Sus scrofa: one gene and its partner. The protein of the gene in region 1 interacts with the protein of each later gene in a pairwise test. Links are inferred from orthologs where the notes say so. Each region holds a gene or a part of one and is shown in the gene's direction. Other genes may lie near its edges. The genes, in order: C2H11orf49 and RAB29.

Region 1 (3,816 bases):
CCCAGTTCTAATACTCATTACACCCTTTATCCCTTTATTACAAGCCCATGATTGTCACACCTTTACCAGTCACAACAAATGTGGAAAACATGATTTCTGATAAATCAAGCCACACAGATTTCATGCTCTTTATTATTTACCAAAGTTATCACTTACAAACCTTTACTGAAATTTTCATGGTCCTTAAACTTTTTCAGTGGCTTTTTTTTTTTTTTTTTTTTTTTTTTTTTTTTGCCACATCCAAGGCATGCAGAATTTCCCAAGCCAGTGATCAAACCCACACCACAGCAGTGACCAGGGCTGCTGCAGTGACAACACCAGATCCTTAACCCTCTGTGCCACAAGAAAACTCCCAGTGACTTTTTTTTTTAATTAAAGAATTGAGTTTTCTTTGCAATCAAGTCATCCATGTTTCTGGTGTAGAATCACTTTTCCCCTGGGATAAATTTCTGAGACACGCAGAAGTGGAAGAGGATGGAAAGAGATAGGAGATAAGAATGCCCAGGTGCTTCTGCCAAATGATGCTGAAGCACCTCACCCTCATCACTGAAATGAAGAGTGAAGGGTTGATGTTAATACTAACAGCCAGTCAGATGGAGTAGGTCATGTTATATCGTCTCCCATTCTACCCTTTGAGAGTATGTCACTTATTTTGCCAGCAAGTTTTGTTTGCCTATTCCAGTCTACTTCCTATGGCAGAACCAGCATTTTGAGTGACTTTCATGGCCTCCTGCTGGGACTGGGATGATGATTTTTGTTTTGTTTCGTTTTTGGTCTACTTCTCACTCTCTCTTTCTCTCTTGCTTTTTCTTTATTTTTGTAGCCCAGCGACATGTCCTCACATACATGGAAGATGCGGTATGCCAGCTGCTAGAGAACAAGGAAGATATTAGCCAATATGGCATTGCCAGGTTCTTCACTGAATAGTAAGTACGTGAGTGCTTTGCCAGTAGGGCGGGCCCAGAAGAGGCTTTAGGAAGCAGCCAAGATATATGAAAAGTAGAGCAGGGCAATGCTGATTATGTAGTGGCAGTGACTGCTTAGCTTTGGTAGACTGGTTGAGGGCTGCCCAGACATGTTTTGGAACGTGCCTTTGGTGCAGCTAGTTTTGTCCAGTGGTAAGTCTCATGAGTGGACATAACTGCAGAAGCTCGACTGCTGGTTTGAGCTATTAAATCTGTTTCCTTAGGTTCCTCTTATAATTTTTAACTTTTCCCATTATTCGGATAGTCACTCTGATTTCCCTTCGTCATTGTTCCTTTAGTCTATGTTTTTCTTGGCTGATTTTTTTCATGGAAATGCTTCGGATGATATTCCTGTGCAGTTTTCTTTCTACAGGATATTGTGCCAGTCATGTAATGATTTAAGACTATTTCTAGAGGCAGGATACCTTCCATAGATTATATCTTTGAGAAGTTGTACAAATGTAAAATATGCTTGGAATGTGTAAAAGTCAAAGTGATTGTTATTTTCAATTTATTAAAAATGTTTTTTCTGTTTCGTTTTATTTTGTTTTTTGCTTTTTAGGGCCACACCTGCAGCATGTGGAAGCTCCCCTAGCTGCTACAGCTGCTGGCCTGTGCCACAGCCATAGCAATGCAGGATCCGAGCCACATCTGCGACCTATATCACAGCTCACAGCAATGCCAGATCCTGAACCCACTGAGCGAGACCAGGGATCAAACCTGCATCCTCATGGATACCAGTCGGGTTTGTATCTGTTGCACCACAAGGGAAGCTCCTTCACGTTTTATTGAGATGTAATTGACATACAACACTGTGCACATTTAAGCATAGTGATTTGATTTACATGCATCATGAAGTGATTGTCTTTTTTTAGAGCAAGTTTTTTTCCCTTTAATACTCAATTAAATAGATAGTTGTAGGTATAAGTTTTGTATGTACATAAATCTGGCTGAGGTGTTAGTTGGAGGCTGGCTTTCTGGTCCTCCTCATTTTTCTGAGACTCTTTCCCATTTTAAAGTTGACTTTGTCAGGGATAAAGTTTACTAATGACGATGTGTAGTAGGCCAGTGTGGTGCTCAAGAGCTTAATTCCTCTAGGTTTTAGCCCAGAGTTGCTTCAGCTCTCTCTTATGTGTCTTGGATCTCCCATCTAGGACACCACGGGTGCTCAGATCGTCAAATGGCCAGTTCTTATTCATGTCCCTGGTTGAGCTTAATTAACAAATGAGTTTTAATTAATGTTTCCCTGTGGGACCACTGCACATCATGAGGACTCCACCGCCCCCATTAGATCTCTCAGTCACCTGAGAAAACTGTAATCAGCCAGGAGGAGTCTGATCCCTTTTCTTCGGAGCAAACACTCTCATCTAATACCTTCACCTTTATCCCAGCAAATTTCATTACAGCAGATGAATTAAGGAAAAGCATCAGATCAGCCTCTTACCTAAACACTCAGTCCAGACCCCTAAGTCTCTTTCAACTAAGCAAGCTGAGGGTATTTTAGTCATTGGTTTATAGCCATAAGTTGACTAGTCACCTGCGATCTTCCCCAGGGAACTGCCTGATGGCGTTTCAGAGATGTTTCCCATATTGGCTTTATTTTTCCGTAGCTCACAAAACTGAGGTCTAGGTTAGAACCTCTGTCAAAATCTTTCCTAGGTTATCATCAGATGGATTAAATATTCGAGCACAAAACTGAAAGCAAAACTGAATCCTCACCAGCCAAAAGGAAGCCACAGAATTACCAATGGGATCTCCTGAAAGGAAAATCCTCAAATGGGAATCAAAGGTTCTCCAGACAGACAATGTCCAGGGAGCATGCTAAGCGGTTCCAAATTGGCTTCCAAGTCCCACTGAGCCCAGGACCTTAGTCCAAGGGACTCCTTACAAATAGGATCTCCCAAAAAGAAAATTCCCAAATGGGAACCGAAGGTTCCCCAGATGGACAAGATCCAGGGGGCCTCAGAGTGCATGCCAGGGGACTTACCCAGATGCTGGCAGAGGTGTCACAATATCCCAGATGCTACTTTTCTCCTTCCCAAAAAAGTTTCTTGAAGTGGAAAGTTTGGGTTGGCAGCAGAGGGAAAGGAAGGAGATCCCTGCAGGCTGGTGGAGCCTCAGCAGCTGCTAGGGTGGTCCTTGCCTTCCAACCACATTTCCAGCCTAGAGTTCCAACTCCCGAGATGGCCAGTCAGGTCTCTTCGGGGGCCCGGCTCTGTGGCAGGAAACTCTCAGTGATCTGGCCTCCAAAAGAGTCCTCTGTTCACCCAATGGGATACTGGTATGGAGAAAAACTTCAGAGCCTTTGATCAAGCTGAGAGCCCTGAGGGGCCGTCTGCCCATGGCAAATCCCAGACGAGCCCCCAAAATTTGTTGCTGAAGCCTCCGTCTGCTGGTGCCAAATACAAACTCAGAGACAGAATTTTGAGTGAAGGAGGAAAAGATAGCTTTATTGCTTTGCCAGGCAAAGGGGGCCACAGCAGGCCAGTGCTTAAGGACTGTGCCCCCATGAAGTGATTACAATAAGTTTAGTGAACATCTATCATCTCATATAGATACATAATTAAAGAAGTAGAAAAAAATTTTTTTTCTTGTGGAGTTCCCATTGTGGCTCTGCGCGTTAAGAACCCAACTAGTATCTATCAGAATTCAGGTTCAATTCCTGGCCTTGCTCAGTGGGTTAAGTATCAAGTGTTGCTGTGAACTGTGGTGTAGGTCACAGACATGGCTCAGATCTGGTGTTGCCATGGCTGTGGCATAGGCTAGCAGCTGCAGCTACGATTCTACTCCTAGCCTGGGAACTTCCATTAGGTGCAGCCCTAAAAACAAAAAAAAAATTCTTGTGATGAGA
Region 2 (3,816 bases), on another chromosome or scaffold:
TTGTCTTTTTGCCTTTTCTAGGGCTGCTTCCTGCCGCATATGAAGGTTCCCAGGCTAGGGGTCTAATCGGAGCTGTAGCCACCTACACCACAGCCACAGCAACTCGGGATCCGAGCCTCATCTGCAGCCTACACCACAGCTCACGGCAATGCCAGATCCTTAACCTACTGAGCAAGGCCAGGGATCGAACTCGCAATCTCATGGTTCCCAGTCGTATTCATTAACCACTGCGCCACGACCGGAACTCCATAGTGGCACTGTTTTATAATCACAGGTATCTGAGTAATGTTCCTGTCCTTGGAAAGTTTATGGTGTTGACTTTTATTTATTTTCTTTGCCAGTGTGATCTATCCCCTTGGGCGGTGAGCCGAGACCAGGTTGACCGGTTCAGTAAAGAGAACGGCTTCACAGGTTGGACAGAAACATCAGTCAAGGAGAACAAAAATATTAACGAGGCGATGAGGTGAGTAGCGCGTGTTGTTCTGGGGATGGCACGAAGATTCACCCATTTTGAACCTTCTTTTCTTGTTTCTAAACAAATGAGAATAGACCGAGCCACTGGAATGCCAGTTTCTGAAGGTCAGGGATGCTGCTGTCTTCTCTCCTGAGATAGCTAGGGAGAGAGGGGCATTGAAATCCTGTAACTGGCTCTGCTGAATGCCATCTGGTTTTAAGACAGACTGTCTATGGAGTTCCCATTGTGGCGCAGTGGTTAATGAATTTGACTAGGAGCCATGAGGTTGTGGGTTCGATCCCTGGCCTTGCTTTTGGGTTAAGGATCTGGCGTTGTCATGAGCTGTGGTGTAGGTTGCAGACGTGGCTTGATCCTGTGTTGCTGTGGCTCTGGCGTAGGCTGGCAGCTACAGCTCCAATTAGACCCCTAGCCTGGGAACCTCCATATGCCGCGGGAAGCAGCCCTAAAAAAGGCAAAAAGCCAAAAAAAAAAAAAAAAAAAAGACAATGTCTAGAGCTCCCTTGAGGCGCAGCAGGTTAAGGATCTGGTGTTGGCACTACAGCAACTCAGGTCACTCTCATGTACGGGTTCCATCCCTGGCCCAGGAACTTCCACATGCTGTAGGCATAGACAACGTCTGACATTTCTCCCTTTCTTCCATCCAGGTTCTCAGGCTTATTTTTTATTGTTTTTTTAGAGTCCTCATTGAAAAGATGATGAGCAATTCCAAAGAAGAAATGTCTTTGTCCACCCAAGGGAACTACATTAACCTGCACACCAAGCCCACCTCCAGCTGGACCTGCTGCTAATAGCATTTGGCTTGTGTTTGCTCACAGTCCTAGGAGGTCTTTCTCTGCCTTTTGGTTACCCACCCAGCAATTTTACTAAGTACATTTGAACTGTCTCTTGCCAACTATCTGGTAAGGAGGGCCATCGTCCCTAAGAAAAAACACCTTGGACCCTTGTGTGTTTCTGCTTCTGCAAGTTGCCTCTTGCTTGCAGCTGGCTTCCAGGGCTCAGTCGGTGCCCTCTGTAGAAGAAAAACTGTCTCATCCCTCAATTTGTGAGCTGGGATTTTGTAGGAAGGATTAGAAATCAGCATCTATATTTTAAGGATCATCATTCTCACGTGCTTTTGAGTGGATTTTTTTCCGTTCAATGTATATTGATATCTCCATCTGATAGGACTTCAGGTTGCAAGGAAAATGAGATCAAAGGTCATTTCCCCAATTCCTTGTAGGTCATTGGTTTCAGGTTCTTTTTGTCAGACTCTGAGCTGCAGAAGTGCGTTTGGGGCTACTGAAGGTAAACCAAAAGTCACTGTATTTTTTTAAGCTGAAGACACAATTAGCTTTCTCTTGTCATGGTTTTAAGACTAGTCAAGCTTAGAGTTCCTGCCATGGCACAGTGGGTTAATGATCCGGCTTCGTCTCTGGCAGCTTGGGTTCGATTCTTAGCCTGATGCAGTGGCTTAAGGATCCAACATTGCTGCAGCTGTGGCGAAGGTCACAGTGGCAGCTCGGATTTGATCCTCGCCAGGGAACTTCAATATGCCACAGGTGTGGCTGAAAAATAAACAAACAAAAAGTCAAGCTTTTAAACTATCTGTCTTACGTGGTGAGAGGGCCTCTTTCTCCAAAGAAATGAATTATCACATTAAGATTTTCTGCTGTGTCTCTCCCAGTGGAATGGGGGCAGGGTTTGCAGGTTTCTGGGTTGGTGTCTTGCCACATAACGCCACCAGGGCCATCCGTTGGCTGTGGTGCCCTGGTCTATACCTTTCAGCTCTGAGAGTCTGAATGGAAGAAGAGGGAGAGGTTAACAGATCAAAATCCTGTGGGGCAACTTCCATGAGCGCTATCGGTGGCTCGCACTTAACAGCCATAGGAAATAAATATCATGTATAGACGTTTGCCTGGGGGTGGAGAGTATACAGACAGAAAATCATTAGGTAATTTAAGTGCTAAATTGGATAGAGTTTTTAAGTATCAAATCACTTCTAGACGGTTTAATTTGTTAAATTCTCACAGGCTGGTGATTTATAACCTACTCAAAGTTATGAATATTCTTAGTGAACTCAGAGGCTTAGAGCTCTTTGTGAGACACTTATCAAAATAAGTGTTCTAAGTCAATGCTTCCGTCAAATCTGACGGATCAGAACCACCTGGGAAATGTGTTTAAAATTTTAAAAATAAAATGTTGTAAGATTTTTGATTCCCAGCCCAGCCTCCAATCTTTTTTTTTTTTTTTTTTTTTTTGGTCTTTTTATGGCCGCACCCGTGGCATATGGAGGTTCCCAGGCTCGGGGTCTAATCAGAGCTGTAGCCACCAGCCTACGCCAGAGCCACGGCAATGCCAGATCAGAGCCGCATCTGCAACGTACACCACAGCTCATGGGAATGCTGGATCCTTAACCCACTGAGCGAGGCCAGGGATCGAACCTGCAACCTCATGGTTCCTAGTCAGATTCGTTTCCACTGAGCCATGACGGGAACTCCCGCCTCCAGTCTATTGAATCAAAATGTCCAGGCGTGAAGCCTGGGAATTTGTTGTGGTTCTTTTGTTTTTCACGTCTTCCCAGGTGATTCTGATCAGCCCAACGTGGAAACCCTTGCTGGAGAACATGATAAAGATACAGAGACCCAGGCCTTCCCTTCAGAAGTGACTCTGGGCTTTTGTGGGCTCCGTTAGCTCTCCAGGTGATCCTGACACGCACCAGCCTTTGACAAGCACTGTCCTAAGAGAGAGCAGAGGCCAAATAGCAGAGCCTTCAGTGGTTTGCTTTTAATGCGAATTATTAAACATTTTGCACAATCCTTGGAGACCTCCAAGTTCTCTTTCGTATTAACCCTTTTCAGGTAGGGTTTTTATTACAGTGATTCTGAAAATAATAGTGGACTAACAAGTTCTCTGTGAGAAGAAAATTGATTTTTTTAATCACTGGTTTGAACCCCTGCAAAATCACAAATAAATGGAAAATAAGGATTACATTCATAGTAGTTATTGGCCTTGAATTGAATTTGTCAAAGTGTTATTTTATACCAATGGGGTGTTGTGGTAATGATACATTTTTCAAATACATTCTTTAAAAATTGAGGTAAATAATTTTTCTGGTTATCTGTTAATTTACTAGTATGAGTTGCCTCATTCCAGTTCAGTACTTGGTGTAGCTTCTCAAATACTGCTTGGAAATGTGACCATTTCAAAAATTGAATATGCTTCCTTTTCCCATTTGCTGACAGGATATTCCTGCCTTTTCAAGCATTGCTGCCAGCCCTTCTGGATTTTCTCTCCCAAGTGGTGAATATTAGGACCCTGAAACTAATTAAAGAAGTTGAAATATAACTAATTCCTCTCCCTGT

Evidence for each region.
Region 2: the proteins of C2H11orf49 (region 1) and RAB29 interact in a two-hybrid assay, tested with the Homo sapiens proteins (2 studies listed by BioGRID and IntAct). The two-hybrid records come from large-scale screens. The link is inferred for Sus scrofa from reciprocal best matches to the Homo sapiens genes CSTPP1 and RAB29.

The regions. Positions count from the first base shown.
Region 1 is NC_010444.4:15,557,928-15,561,743, reverse strand, and holds part of C2H11orf49 (UPF0705 protein C11orf49 homolog), read left to right. Parts: intron 1-823; coding exon 824-926; intron 927-3,816. UniProt on the Homo sapiens protein: Regulator of the tubulin polyglutamylase complex (TPGC) that controls cytoskeletal organization, nuclear shape, and cilium disassembly by balancing microtubule and actin assembly.
Region 2 is NC_010451.4:66,448,588-66,452,403, reverse strand, and holds the end of RAB29 (ras-related protein Rab-7L1), read left to right. Parts: intron 1-341; coding exon 342-463; intron 464-1,151; coding exon 1,152-1,263; 3' UTR 1,264-3,550; downstream 3,551-3,816. UniProt on the Homo sapiens protein: The small GTPases Rab are key regulators in vesicle trafficking. Essential for maintaining the integrity of the endosome-trans-Golgi network structure.